2 linked regions of the Rhinolophus ferrumequinum genome follow. The protein of the gene in region 1 interacts with the protein of each later gene in a pairwise test. Links are inferred from orthologs where the notes say so. Each region holds a gene or a part of one and is shown in the gene's direction. Other genes may lie near its edges.

Evidence for each region.
Region 2: the proteins of KANSL1 (region 1) and NECAB2 interact in binary tests that used the Homo sapiens proteins (3 or more experiments, as listed by UniProt). The two-hybrid records come from large-scale screens. The link is inferred for Rhinolophus ferrumequinum from reciprocal best matches to the Homo sapiens genes KANSL1 and NECAB2.

Annotation. Positions count from the first base shown.
Region 1 is NC_046304.1:41,156,007-41,163,111, reverse strand, and holds the start of KANSL1 (KAT8 regulatory NSL complex subunit 1), read left to right. Parts: upstream 1-4,092; 5' UTR 4,093-4,257; intron 4,258-4,890; exon of another isoform or gene 4,891-5,025; 5' UTR 5,026-5,164; intron 5,165-7,105. UniProt on the Homo sapiens protein: Non-catalytic component of the NSL histone acetyltransferase complex, a multiprotein complex that mediates histone H4 acetylation at 'Lys-5'- and 'Lys-8' (H4K5ac and H4K8ac) at transcription start sites and promotes transcription initiation.
Region 2 is NC_046298.1:29,518,185-29,525,598, forward strand, and holds the start of NECAB2 (N-terminal EF-hand calcium-binding protein 2), read left to right. Parts: upstream 1-4,404; coding exon 4,405-4,629; intron 4,630-7,186; coding exon 7,187-7,211; intron 7,212-7,325; exon of another isoform or gene 7,326-7,414. Other genes in the region: OSGIN1 (oxidative stress-induced growth inhibitor 1), read left to right, coding at 1,609-2,557. UniProt on the Homo sapiens protein: May act as a signaling scaffold protein that senses intracellular calcium.

The DNA of each region.
Region 1 (7,105 bases):
CTCAGTGGAGATTTAAATGCTTGTCTTTTAGTGAGTTGAGCATCTTTTCATTCATTTACCAGCCATTCCTATGTTCTTTCTCGTAAAATTTCTGTAGTATCTTTTGTCCATTTTTCCAGAGAGATGCTATTTTTCTAAAAAATAATATTTTCATTGTGAAGTATCCATACAGAAAAATATACAAAAGTTTTTGTATGTTTTGCTAAACAGTTATAGAGCAAATACCTGTGTACCCATCACCTGATCAAAAAGTAGAACACTGAAAGGAAAAGGAATTCTGGATTGCCTTAGGAACTCTGGAACTGCCTGTTCCTAAGAAAAACCTCCACCCTCCACACTCAATCAAACAACACTCCCTCTGCCCCCGTTAGCCAGCCTGACTTTCATTATTGTGTTCATTTCCTTCCTTTTCTTTATAATTATACCACCTATCTATGCATCCCTATGCAATATAGTTCAGTTTTGCCTGCTTTTAAACTTTATATAAATGGAATCATACTTTGTATATTTTTTTGTATCTTGCTTTTTTGTGTGTGTTTAATATTACCTTTGTGAATATTTATTCATATTGTTGAACATAACCATAGTTTATTAATTTTCGTTGTCTGAATATACCACAATTTAACCATTTTATGCTTGATAAACATTTGGGAGGTTTCCAGTGTGGGGTGCTGAGGAACAAAGCTGCTATGAATATTCTTGTACAGTGATCCTGACATTTACAATTCTGCATTTCTTTATAATACATATAATACTGTGACTGCTGGGACACAGTATACATAGCTTCAATTTTATTAGATTTTATCAGAGTCTTTTTCTAAAATGGCTGTGCCAGTTTACACTCCCACCAGCAGGGTAAGGATGAAGATGGCTGGTATTTATTTATTGATTTGTAAGAGGTCTTTATAGACAGTATCATAGAAATTAGCCCTTTGTAATAGGAGTAGCAAATTGTTCCCCCCCCAAGTTTAGTCTCTTTAAAAAGGCACTGATGTTCTTCCAACCCCCCCTAGAGGAATGAAAATGTAACTGGAAGAAGTGGAGTATTCTAATTTTGAAGCATTTAAATGAAAAAATGTTCTGGGTTAACCACTTTATCACTCTTAATGTGCAATCGTATATGTCATCCGTACAAATAATCATACCGGAAATTTTTATGGAATGCTCTGGAATACAAGATGTCAATATAATAATAATGATAGTTAAAAACTGTTGACCTTGTATTAGGCACTGTTTTAAATCCATTATATATATTAACTAATTTAATCCTTACAATAACCCTAGGAGGTGGGTACTATATTTTGCTCCATTTTACAGATACATGAAATAAGGAGCTGGATTAAAGATGTTTTCTAGGGCATATTTAAGCAAAATTAATAAACTCAGAAAAGATTCTTTCTTAACTAATAAAGATGTTTTCTTTTTATAATTTCTTTTTCCTCTTGGGAATGAATGATACGCCATCTGGGTTTCTTTTCCCCATCTCAGATCTGCAATATACCCCATAGCTTTCTCTTTTTTCTTTGAAGAAAGACAAAATGTATATATCGTTCTTCCAATCTTTACTCACAATTCCTTGTTCTTTGTGTCACAGGGACGTCAGAAATCTGCAGGTAGCACTAGGAACCAGAGAGTGTTTGGAGCAAGTGGAAAACGGAAAGAGAGAGACGGAGATAAGGGGTGAAGGACAGGGCCACAAGCCTGGCATGGGTGTGTGAAGGGTGGGAAGGATGCTTTCTTTATGGTGGGGTTTCTTAACCTGCAGTCCACAGATTAAGAAATCCATGAATTTAGATCAGGGAAAGTGATGTGCCTTTATTTTTGCTAAAATGTTAACAGAAAACTAGCATTTCCTTCAGTTATGAATGGAGACGACAAACCAAGTCGTATTAGCAGTGTCTGTGATTTTGTCACCGGTAGAAATCACAAATATTTTCCTAATAATATGACAGCTGTCACAGCGATCTTGAAATATTATTTATGCTCATTTACTACCTGAAAATTATGGTGGTCATTAGGTCTGCCATTAGATCTTATTATTTAATACATTAATATAAAGCCCAGATATTACTATATCACACCTTTCAAAATATTTTGAAAATTGTATTTTAATGTCATTGCTTTCCTTTAAATTCCTCTGTATGTTGATTACACATAAAAAGTATTCTGAGAAGAGGTCCATATGTTTCACCAGACTGCCAAAGGGTCCGTGGTGTGAAAAAGTTAAGAACTCTGCTTTATGGATATTTTGACTTTCATTCTTATTGAATGAGCCTTTAGAGAGTCCCAGAAATGAATCTCAAGACCGGTGAGGCTGTCATAGTTTTATTATTCTATTTTTCCAGAGACACTTCCCCCCATAACTTTCATGCCTCTTCAATATTCTGTTTTTCTTACCTCACTGCCCCTCTTTCTGTTCTTTTCATTATCCTGTGGGTGCCTTTTTACACTTCTATGGGTAGTTTATCCTTCAGCATATCATCAATCAACATATTTAGGTAGAGAACTCCAAACCTTCCCTAGTCCAGATTGTCCACCCTCTCCCAAATTCCGTATTTCCAGTTGCCTCTGGGACACCTCCACTTAGTTTTACCACTACTGTTTGGAACTGAACATATTAAAAACTAAGATTTCTCCCAAAATTTGCATGCTGTCCCACTTTGCCTGGATGACCATCTTGTCTGTCCCCCTGGTTTTCTGACCTTAGATTTATTTTAAAATTTAAATAAATTACTTAAACAAAACAAAACAAAACCCTGGAATCTTTGTAAATGGCACAAAAATCAAAAGATACAAAAAGATGTACAATGAAATGTAAGTCTTGCTTCCACCTGGTCCCCTAGGCACTCAGTTATCAGCCCAGGTGGAAAGCACTTTGAGTCATTTTGATTCCTTATTATATTGGTTATATCTCAAGTCCTTCCCGTTTGTGAGATGTGTGCCCTTTCCTCTCCAGGCTCTTGTGACCTTATATCTGGTTGACTTTATACATATATGTATGTGTATATTTTATATTCATATATAAAATCTCTCCTATGGCCTTCCGGCCTCGAGTTTTCATCACGTCGCTTCCTGGATGAAGAACCTACAGGGGTGAGGGGCCGGGGTTGGGGGTGATGGAGAAGAGGATCCAAAGGGGACTTAGGTAGGGGGTTCGGAGTGGCTGACTGGTGGGAAGCTCTGCCAGGATTCCTATTTCTATCTTTCCCACCGCGGGCCCCCTTCCAGTCGCCTTGTCCAAATGTCTCTCATTTCCAAGAGCCAAGACAGAGACAGCGAGATACAGAGACAGAGACGCCGAGGCACCAGCATCCCTCTCCCCTCCTGTCCCGCCCCACCGCTCTGACGGACACCCGCCATTAGCCAATGGCGCTCACGATGTGCCCCGGAAGGACCAATGAGAGACAGAGGAGGGCAGAAGATTCCCCGCCTCCACTTCTAGGCTTGGTTGAGCCGTGCAGGTAGGTCCGGGGCCGGGGGAGCAGCCGTTGGCACTGGTGCCGCGGGGGTAGGGGGCACGAGTCGTTAGGGGTGATGGTGGGAAAGGGGATGTGGTCCTATCCGCGGGAGTTTGAGGGGGTGGCCCAGGCGGGAGGCGGGGGGCCGGCGGGCCCGGGGAGCGGGCGCCGCCGAGGGCCCTGGAAGCGGCTGGACTTGGGGGAGCGGGGACGCGTGTGTGAGGCACAGGGACCCCCGCCCCGCGCCCACTCGCAGGCCTGGGCCGCGGGCTGCCGGCCGAGGGGCTGGGGGCCTGGTGCCCGGGGGCGGACCGGGGCTGGGCCTGGGGCCGGGGGCGCCGAGCAGAGCCCGGGGCGCCAGGCCGAGCCGAGGTGGGACGGACCGACGCGGAGAGGAAGGGAAGCTGCATCCCGCGGGCCGCCCCTCCTGAAGCGAGCCGGGGCAACGGCCGCAGGCTCCCCTGCCCGGAGCCCACTTCCCCATTCGCCCCCTCCCTGACAATGGGGATGGGACAGAAGGAGTCGCCCCACTGCGGGAAGCTGGCGGGGGGTGTAGGTTTGGGACTAGGGTCCAAGGTGGGGGGAGGGGTGAGAACTCGGGCTCTCTCCCCTTTCTCTTCTTCCCATGTCTTTTGCGGTGGGGATCATGGAGGGTCTATTAAATCCTCCTGAGACTTGGGTCAAGAGTCAAACTCCCCCGTCCCCCCCCAAAAAAAATCCGATGAGCGGTAAGGAAAGTGATGCCAAGTCTTCGAAGCCCAAGTGACAAACGCATAGCAGGAACAAATCTACTCCAGAGGTTTTTATTTAAAATTTTTTTTTCCAAAATGAGGGTATTGTAATTTTTGATTTTTTGAAATTTATTTTACAGAGGTGGGTGCTGTTATTCTTGTCCCTACTCGGGCAAGCCTCCATTTTAAGCGAAGCAGTAACTGGTTAAGCTGGAATTTTCATTCAGGCCTAGGACTTGAACAAGGTTCCTAGGAGAGGTCATTTAATCCATCCTCCTGCCTCCAGGCAAACTTGCCTCTCTCCTTCCTCAAAATTAAGTTGTTTGGTCTGCTTTTAACGATCTCTAGAGAAGAAGGCTCTTTTATTTGCTTGTAGCACTTCAGTCAAGAATGGATTTTATTTTTTATGTAGATAGGTCCTGAAACTTAATAAAATTTAGGACAGTGAGAATGATCAGAGAGGTTTTTATTAAATAAAATTAAATGTGACAAGGGTCTTTTTTAGATGGTCCGTTAAATCACTTTTCAGTAGTGTTTATGAAGTACCCTGAAGAATCATTTTTCTACCTGGGATTTTGGTTTTCTAACTATTTGATAAGCAATTTTATATTATAGAAAACATGTATTACACAGTTAATTCACTTTTTATGTAAACTATATTTCTACATGATATGGATATACACATACATACATTTGCCTCTTTCTAAAGGGGACTGTGTTTTGTACATCTTTTTAGGATGGTGAAGCAAATAGTACTTCAAATCTCTGTCCAGATACTCAAACTATTTGCTTATTCTTGATTATTTTTTAGTCTAAATGAAAGTCCTCTCTTTCAGATACCTTCTTGAAACAAAAAAATTTCCTACCTGCTCATACTTGGTGACTGAGGGATTACTAAGACTCCCTGCTTGCTCATTTCTGAGAATTGTCTGAACTATTCCTGACACTATGAATGCTATGTGGATGCCTCCTAAGGTAAGATGTGTTATTTTTTTTTTTCAATTAAAGGCCTCATTTTATTTTTCTTTAGAATTGAGAATATTCTCGAATTTGCAATTCTTCAACCTATTACCTGACCCTCCTTTCCCCTCAAAAACTACTCTTATGGTTGCTTCCTAGGACTCGTTGGTTACTCTTTACTTTGTATTGCTACTGTTCTTAATTGTTGGTGTTAAAATATGAATGAAGTTCTCAAGTTAACTTTCATTATAATGATGTGTTAATTTTCTAACTTTAAATTATGACAACCCACATAGCTGTAAAATTATCCTATCTCAGTAGGATGGATTGGCACTTCAGCCATCCAGGTCCATTTTCAACAGGTAGTCATAGGTAGTAGGGTGTGTCCCACTTGCAAATCTGTAGCTGATTCATGAATTACAAGTGATGTGTCATTAACCATTTGTTTACTCTGAAACTTCATGTAGAATTTTCTGAGGCCTGTTGGTTTGCGTGTACGACTCCACTGGAGAGTCCTGCTGCTTCCTAGTCATTTGCATAGGAATTAACACTTTTTCTGCACAGGTAGCGCTTTGTGCCAAGTTTCATTTCACAGGATAAACCTCTGTTGGGCAATGTGGGCTGATGATCTTTAGATGAAAAAGCTCTTATTAATGTGGTTCTCAAGTCCCTTCACTCCTTCCAATTTCTTGTACATAGATGGCCAAAGGACACTTCGTTTGTACTAAGTAAAGGGCAAAGCTTAAGACATTTGTAGGGAGGAAAATGAGAGGAAGGATGGACAGAGAAAGATGAGGGGTGATGGAAGCCCTCACCAGTTTCGCCAGGTGGCTCAGGTTGCCTTCCTTTGGAGCTAGATATTAGTGTATTTAAGACCGTTGTGTGGTCATCTGCCCTGTGGAATGCCAATTTAATGCAACGAATAAATCAGAATAATGTAACCTAAATATTTGGACTGTTGGAAATCTTTAGGTAAATGTAGACTGAGTTCTCTTCTTAGTTTATATTCCAGCTGTTGTTGTTGCTTACATTATGTGTAAAAGAAGTCAAAGTGATAGTTTACCAGCCATTCTCCGTGTAGAGTTGGAGGGGTTGTATGGGGAACCCACCCAGAAGTCCTGAACACTTAGGAATTGGAAAACCTTATATAAGAGTGTTTCTCTTTGGTACCAAGTGTTTAGCGCCAGGACCTGGTGACCTCTGTTATCTTTAGGAAGCAGGCAAGGGGATATCAGCAGGCCCTAGGTCCCCAGAAACCCAAGGAAATTAGGATCCATATATTGAATTTTGTTTTACCATTACCCTGGTTTTAACTAATGTATTAGGTACATAGAGCCTCCTTCTTAAGATATATATGATGTTTAAGATTTTACCAGTAAATCTCTGAACTTGGGGTGTTATGTGGTTGACTGTTGAACAACCCCAGGGATCAGGGGTGCCGACCCCCCGCCCCCACACACACACAGTCAAAAATAAGGAATAACTTTTGACTCCCCCAAAACTTAACTTCTAATAGCTTACTGTTGACCGGAAGCTCAACCAATAACATAAACAGTTGGTTATCACATGTTATGATACATGTATTCTTAGAGTATGTTATACTGTATTCTTAGAATAAAGTAAGCTAGAGAAGAAAATTTATTAAGAAAATCTTAAGGAAGAGAAATGCGTTTACTGTATTGAAAAAAATCCGCACAGTTCAAACTCATTGTTCAAAGGTCAACTATAGTTCCACAATAACCCCTGAAGTTGTACCAAAGACCTCTGGGATGGCAGGAGTACAGAGCTTCCTACTATATGAGTTACCTACCACCTGTTAACTACTTAAGAATGTAGTTATGTGGCTGCCTTAATTTTATGTTTCCTACCAGTTCTTTGATCAGTGGAAGATCTCTTCTGAATCTGAGCAGATTTTTTATTTGCTAACATTTTCCTCCTCCTTTTACTACTTAGAAA
Region 2 (7,414 bases), on another chromosome or scaffold:
GCCTCTCAGGACAACTCAGTTTCCACCTCTTCAGGAATCACTGTCTATCTCTTTTACACAAAGACTTCTGTCCCTGCACATTTGGTAGGAAAGCATCCAACACATAGTGATGCGTTACCAGACAGACAGGAAATTAAATTTCACTTGTAGACATACCCTTCCATATCCTTCTTTTAATACTCAACATTATGTCATAGCATTTCACTTGGTGATTACGCAGGGTTTGCAACCATCCTTTTACACGGCCATGTAATATGCCCCAGGGAGGGTGAGCATCTGCGTTGCAGGTCTTTGTACTTAGATGTTGGAACCAAAAATTAGACAGATGTGCGCCCTGCCCCTGAGGGGCTGCCACAGTCCCTAAGCCTCTGCCCAGGCCTGGAGCTTTCATTCTTTCCAATGCACCGTTTCTAGGAGTAACCCCATGTGTAACATCTTAGGGCAATCCTTTAAAACAATTTGTACTAAAACAGAGAAGGTGACATGAGAAACCCACAGAAATAAATTCCAGAGTTCCAGTTTCTGTAGCAGACGAATGAGTTGGGCTGGCTGGCGGATGTGATCTGAGTTCACCCTACCATTGGCCGATGGGTCGTGCTGGCGTGTCACTTAGGATTCCCTTTCAGTGAGTTCATCTCTAACAGTACGTTCACCGTTAGGGAAAGTGACTCACCTACGGTCACACAGGTAGATACAGGGAGTCACACAGCTTTCACCTGAGTCATCAGCAGCACTGGCCCACAGTCACTGCCTCGGAAAGGGTGGTGAAAATATTAATATTAATAATAATAATAATAATAATATTAATAATAAAATAGTTCCTGCTGTTACTGTGTGTGCTGGGACTGTGCTAAGTGCTTTACATGGGTTCTTTCTTATCAACTCTTTTACTGAAATATATCATACGTACAGATAAATCACATGTGTACGGGTGGATGAAATTTCTCAAAGTGAACCCATCTGCGTCCAGCCACCCAGACTCAAGAAATCCATCACGTCTCCTCAGGAGCCCCCTCAGACCCCTCCTAATCCCCACCCCCTTCTCCTCCCAAGAGGCAACCACTTTCTTGACCTCTAATTCCACAGGTCAGTTTTGCCTGTTTCTGAACATTATAAAAGGACGATCCCACCATCGTGATGTATGTTATTATTGAATCCTTCGGGGTAATAGTGGCCGGGCCCATACGGCCTGTCAGGTTCTATTCTAAGCTTCGTTTACATCATCACCTAATTCTCTCAGCAACCACACAGCATAGGTACATCACCATCGTCATCCTCATTTTGCAAGTGAGGAAACTGAGGCAGAGAGTTTCAGGAAACAGCTCACCAGTGGCAGAGTCAGGATTTGAACCCAGGCCATCGGCCTCTGGAGGCCCCACTCTCAACACCCCCTCCCCCATAAGATACCATTATCAGCTCCATTTTACAGAAGAGAAGACTTCACCTTCTGAGAAGGTTAAACCACTTGGCCAACTCTTACGGCTGCTGGGTGCACAGTCATCGTGGGCTCCAGGGCCTGACTCCAACCTGGTCACCCCCTGTCCCCCCTGATTGACCCGCCACCCCAGCCGCTATCTGACACCTGCCCTTTTTGCATCCTTCCCCCAGAGGTCTCCGAAACAGCCGGGCCACAGCTGGTGACATTGCTCACTACTACAGGGATTATGTGACCAAGAAGGGCTTGGGCCACAACTTCGTGTCCGGCGCAGTGGTCACGAATGTGGAATGGGGGACGCCCGAGCCCAGCAGCTCTGGGGCCCAGGACCCCAGGCCGCTCTTCCAGGTGAGCGGTTTCCTGACCACCGAGGACCAGTGCCAGCAGCCCTTTTCCCTGTATGCCCACAATGTGGTCCTGGCCACCGGCACATCCGACAGCCCGGCGCGGCTGGGCATCCCTGGGGAGACCCTGCCCTTCATCCACCATGAGCTGTCAGCCCTGGAGGCGGCCACAAGAGCAGGCACAGTGAGCCCGGCCTCGGACCCCGTCCTCATCATCGGCGCGGGGCTGTCAGCGGCAGACGCGGTCCTCTACGCCCGCCATTACAACATCCCCGTGATCCACGCCTTCCGCCGGACCGTGGATGACCCCGGCCTGGTCTTCAACCAGCTGCCCAAGATGCTGTACCCCGAGTACCACAAGGTCCACCAGATGATGCGGGAGCAGTCCATCCTGTCGCCCAGCCCCTACGAGGGCTACCGCAGCCTCCCTGAGCACCAGCCTGTCCTCTTCAAGGAGGACCGCCAGGCCATGTTCCAGGACCCCACAGGCCTCCAGAAGGTCTTCGGCGTCTCCCTAGTGCTAGTCCTCATCGGCTCCCACCCGGACCTCTCCTTCCTCCCGGGGGCAGGTGCTGACCTCGCCATGGACCCCAGCCAGCCACTGAGCGCCAAGAGGAACCCCATTGACGTAGACCCCTTCACCTACCAGAGCACACAGCAGGAGGATCTGTACGCAGTGGGGCCGCTGGCTGGGGACAACTTTGTGCGGTTTGTGCAGGGCGGGGCCCTAGCTGTGGCCAGCTCCCTGCTGAGGAAGGAGGCTAGGAAGCCGCCCTAGCCCTTGGCCTGGCATCCTCGTACCCAGACCCTAAAGAGAAGGGGAGATCATCACAGCCCTGCTGGACACAAGATGCCCCAGTGAGGGAAGGGAGCCTCTCCTGGCAGGAGACAGGAGTGGCCATGAGCCCATGCAACAGGCTTCTCGGATAGAGGAGTGGGAGCCAAGGCTACCCAGACTCAGACCAGTGCCCAGGCTGGGAACAGTGGCTGCAGGTCAGCAAAGGCCCAGACCTGCGATTTGGGGTGAAAGCTGCCAGTGTGAGCAGGGATGACCAGGGCCAGCTGAGCGCTGAGCCAGGAGGACTCCAGGCCCCACTCCTTCTAGAATCAGGTCCCAAATAAAATCAGTGCCTGCCTCCACTCACGTGTCTGAGGATTCTGTGCTTGGGGAGGGACCGACTGCCCAGGAGCCTGTTCTAGGAGCCAGGCAGAAGCACAGGGCCAGGTGGGAGGAGGTCCTTGGGGTGGGGCTTGGGGGACAACCGATGATGCTCCAAGTGTGGCAAATGAGAAGGCAGCTGCCGTTTCCCTGAAAATAAGACCTAGCCGGACAATCAGCTCTTATGCGTCTTTTGGAGCAAAAATTAATGTAAGATCCAGTATTATATTATTTATATTATATAAGATCCCGTCTTATAGTAAAATAAGACCGGGTCTTATATTAATTTTTGCTCCAAAAGACGCATTAGAGCTGATTGTCCGGCTAGGTCTTATTTCCCGGGAAACACGGTATGCTAGAGAAGTGAGGGGAGCGTGTGTATGAGGAATGAAGTGCTGAGGAGGCTTTCCAAGCCCCCTCCCATTCTCCCTTGCAACACGTTGTCTTAGCCCCTCATGCTCATGCTTCACCTGCCACAGGGCCTTTGCACAATCAGGTCTCTAGCCCACTTTTCCCTCCTCTCTTTAACTCTTCCCCTTTCTTCCACTCTCTCAGCATAAGAGTTACTTCCCCCAGGAAGCGTCTTCTGACACAAACCCCTCCTTAGGCACCAGGGCAAATTACCAGCTCATGGCCCAAGGTGTCATCTCTTCATAGCAGTTCGGTTTTAATGATTCATTTATTTGTGGAATCTGTATCTAGCTCTACCCATTGGGCTGTAAGCTCCAAGAGGCCAAGGACCCTGTCTGTTTTGCCCATTATTGGGACCCAGAGCCTAGCACCTAACTGCGCGCCTTAACTAATCTGTTGGAGTGTGTGGGGAAGGGGGAGTTCTGGGGCGAAGACTGGTTCTGGGCGTTGTGTAATGGGAGGGAAGGTCTGAGGGGGCGTAACGCCCGCAGGAGGGAAGGATGGGTGCCCGTGGGAATTGTGGTGGAAGCCCATCGCACGGGCACGGATCACCCGAGCTGGAGCCGGCAGAGGGAGCTCCGAGCTCGCTGGACATTGCGCTCTGGCCCCTGCGGCGGTGCCGCGGGTCAGGTGGGGTGATTTTAGGTGGGGGCAGCGGGAGACTTTCGTGGGGGAAGCCCCCAGGGACGCCCCCCGGCAGGCAGACCCTCCCACCAACCCCGTGTCTACTGGGCAGCCCCTCCCTGGCCGGGGTCTAGACCCCAAATCTGCGCCCCCGCGGGCAGCCTCCTGCTGCCGCTCTCAGCCGCGGTAGGGGGCGGGGGGGGTGCGGTGGACACGGAGCACGTGGCTCGGGGTCCGGGCGGAGCGCACCCCCCCTCCCCCGCGACCGGTCCCCCGGCGCCGGCCCGTCTCCTCCGTGGCCGCGGCCGCGGGGGCAGAGGGAGGGAGGGCGGGGCGGCGCGGGCAGCGGCGCCGGGGAGGGGTCGCGCGGGGGCGGACGGGCGGGGGTCGGCGGGCTTCCGGGCGGCGGTGGCGGTGGCGGGTGCGGCGCGATGTGCGAGCGGGCGGCGCGCCTGTGCAGGGCCGGCGCGCACAGGCTGCTCCGGGAGCCGCCGCCGCAGGGCCGGGCGCTGGGCGGGCTGCTGCGCTGGGTAGGCGCCAGAATGGGCGAGCCCCGGGCGCCGCTGGCCCCCGACGTCCCCGCCGCCCCCGCCGTGGACCCTGGCCCCTGTCCCGGCCCCGCCTCGCTGCGCGGGGGCACTGCTGTCATCCTGGACGTGAGTACGCGCCCGCCGGGACCCCAAGCCCCCTCCTCCCACGGGGAACCCCGACGCCGCCCTACCTCGTTCCCGCCGGAACCCGCGAGGACCCCACCCCACCCCGAGCAGGGGACCCCCGACGCATCCCTCTGGGCAGCTCGGAGCTGGAACCGCACCCGGCCTCTCTTAAGTCCCAGAACGCGAGCCCCAAGCCTTCCCACGTCCCGGCCAGTCTCATTCCCGGACCAAGACGACCCCCACTCCTTCCTCCACCTTCTCGGAGCCGGGATTCTGGAGACCCCTTGGCCGGCCACCGCCCCCTACTTTTGTCCTGGTCCGACCCTCATCTTGCCCCAGCCCTGCACCTACCCTTTTCCCCTCATCCCTTCCCAGGACGAGAGCCCCTGACTGCCTCCAGCCCCCTGAGCCTCTCCTTCCCAGGTCCCTGCTGAGTTGCTACTTTTCAGAGACCACCTTCCCCTTCCTCGCTAGACTCTGAACCCTTGTAGTCTCATCCCTAATCAAAGACCTATTCTCCCTGCCCCCCCCTTTGAAAGTGAAGTCCCCTCCCCACCTCTGTCTTTCCTTCTCGTTTCCAGAGTGTTGGAACCACCCCCATCCGCCCTGAGCCTGGACCCCTAGGTTCCCCTTCACCACCCCCACTCCATTCTGAGCCCCCTCTGTCCTCCATTCCCTTCCCCACCTCCACCCTCTCTACTCACCCCCTCCCTCATCCTCTCTGGAAACCAAACTGCCCACCTCTGGGAAGCCCACCTCACCCTCCCACCCACTCCCCAAATGGGAGGGAGATTTCCCTGGTGGATTGCAGGGTGTGGGGGACTCCGGTGGAGTGCTAGGCGGTGGAGGGGCTTTCTCTCCTCCCCCTGCCCCATGACAGCATGGTGGTGGGATGTGCATGTCCCAGTGTGGTGGGTGGCGAGGAGATGGGGGTGCCTAGAATGTTCATGATGGCTTTCTGGGAGGGGAGTGTGTGTGTGTGTGTGTGTGTGTGTGTGTGTGTGTGTACGTGTACAGCACATCCCTGTAAGTGTGGGGGAGCTTGGATTACCTCTCTCTCCTTCCCTTCTCTCCTGGAACCCATAGCTGGCTTTGGGCAGAGAGCAATGGGTAGAGAAGGTGGAGCTGTGCTGGGTGTGTTTCAGGTTCTGGTGCCTCCAAACACACACTCGTGCATACACAGCCCAACACACAATGGACTCTCTCTCTCAAGACCCTAGCAAGCAGAGTTCACCGCTGAAAGCCCTGGGCCCATGGGGTCTGCAGACCTAGGCCTGCCGTTGTAGGGAACCCCCATCCAGACCCCTCCTGATTCTCTCCTCTAACAGTACAGGAGGTGGGCTCCAGGTTCCTAGCGTGCCATGTGAGGGCTCTGAGCCTCCATTACCTCATCTGTGAAATGGGGTGACGAGCCGAGATGGGGACTCACAGTGCTCACGCAGACTCCTAGAGCCATACATGTGGTCACGTTATTCACAGGCCCAGAGCTCACACCTGAGGGTGGGGTGCCTAGACGGGGGCTTTGAGGAGGTCCTAGGGTGCTCTGATAACTGCTCCCCTTTCTGCCCCAGCCACAGAGGCTCCTGCCTAGTACCCCAACCCCCGGGTTCAGCTAAGGAAGGGGGTGATGTCTAAGAAGGCCTCCTGAGCTGCTGCTTTGGTTTGTCACAGCCCCTGGTGCCTGATAATGGATGCCCGCACCATTGCTTGAAGGGATGGGGTGGGGGGGTATCTGTCCTTTACCCCAGGGACAGACCAAAGGTGGGATGGTCAGAGGTGGTGGTGTCTCCCCGTCTCCTATCAGCAAGGCTTACGGAATCCCAGAATACCAGGAGGGGGAGTTATCTGGTCTCTAAGCTCAGGCTAGGGTTGGGGAGTAGGGGCAGTGGCTGTCCTTCCCCCATCCCTGCCTGGTTTTCTGAGCTCCTGGAGACCTGCTTCTTCCCATTCCCTCACCCCCTAAAAAATCGAATCCTGCCCATGGCTGGTCCAGTTGCCAAACCTCCAGATTCCCTTAGCAGACACCTCCATTCAGACTTAACCCGATCTCCCTACAGAAAACCAGGGCCCTCAAGGGGTTCTGGGAGGGGTGCAGTGGTGTAAGGCATATGGCTGTGTCCACGGGACACAAATTCGGAGTGCGTCACTGAGCGTACGACTGGGTGAAGCGCGTGAACCGATGGCTCTGGGAGCATGTGGAACCAATGATTCTGGGAGCAAGCATGTGGATGGATGTGAGCGAGTGTCCACATGCGTGTGCATGTGTCTGTCGGCATGGCTGTGGGCAGGCTGGCGGCACAGAAGGGAGAGTGGGCGGCTGTTTCCGTGAGGGTGGCTCTTTCCATGAGGGTGGCTAGGAGCGCCTCTGCCTGAAACATCCCTTCCTCACCCCTGGATCCCAGCCAGATGGGGGTCTCCTCCCTGGGAAGGAAGAAGGAGGGAGCTCTGCTTCCCAGGCCCACCTGGGGGGAGTGGGATCTCAGTATCAGGTCAGGATCTGCTGCAGGCGCCTGCTCCCTGGCCCAGGGCCGCCTTGACCGACTTCTCTTCTCTGCAGATTTTCCGTCGTGCGGACAAAAATGGTGAGTTTCCCTCCCACACTGTCCCCTGAATGAGAAGCTGGCTCTCTATCCTGAGTCTTCAGGGGAACAGATCAGGGGCAGGGACTGGACAACCTGAACCTAAAGGTTTAGAGTGCAGATCTCTGAAGTCTGAAGGCCAAATTCTGACTCTGCTCCGTGCCTCAGTTTCCCCTCTGTACAATGGGACTCCCAGAGTTCCTACC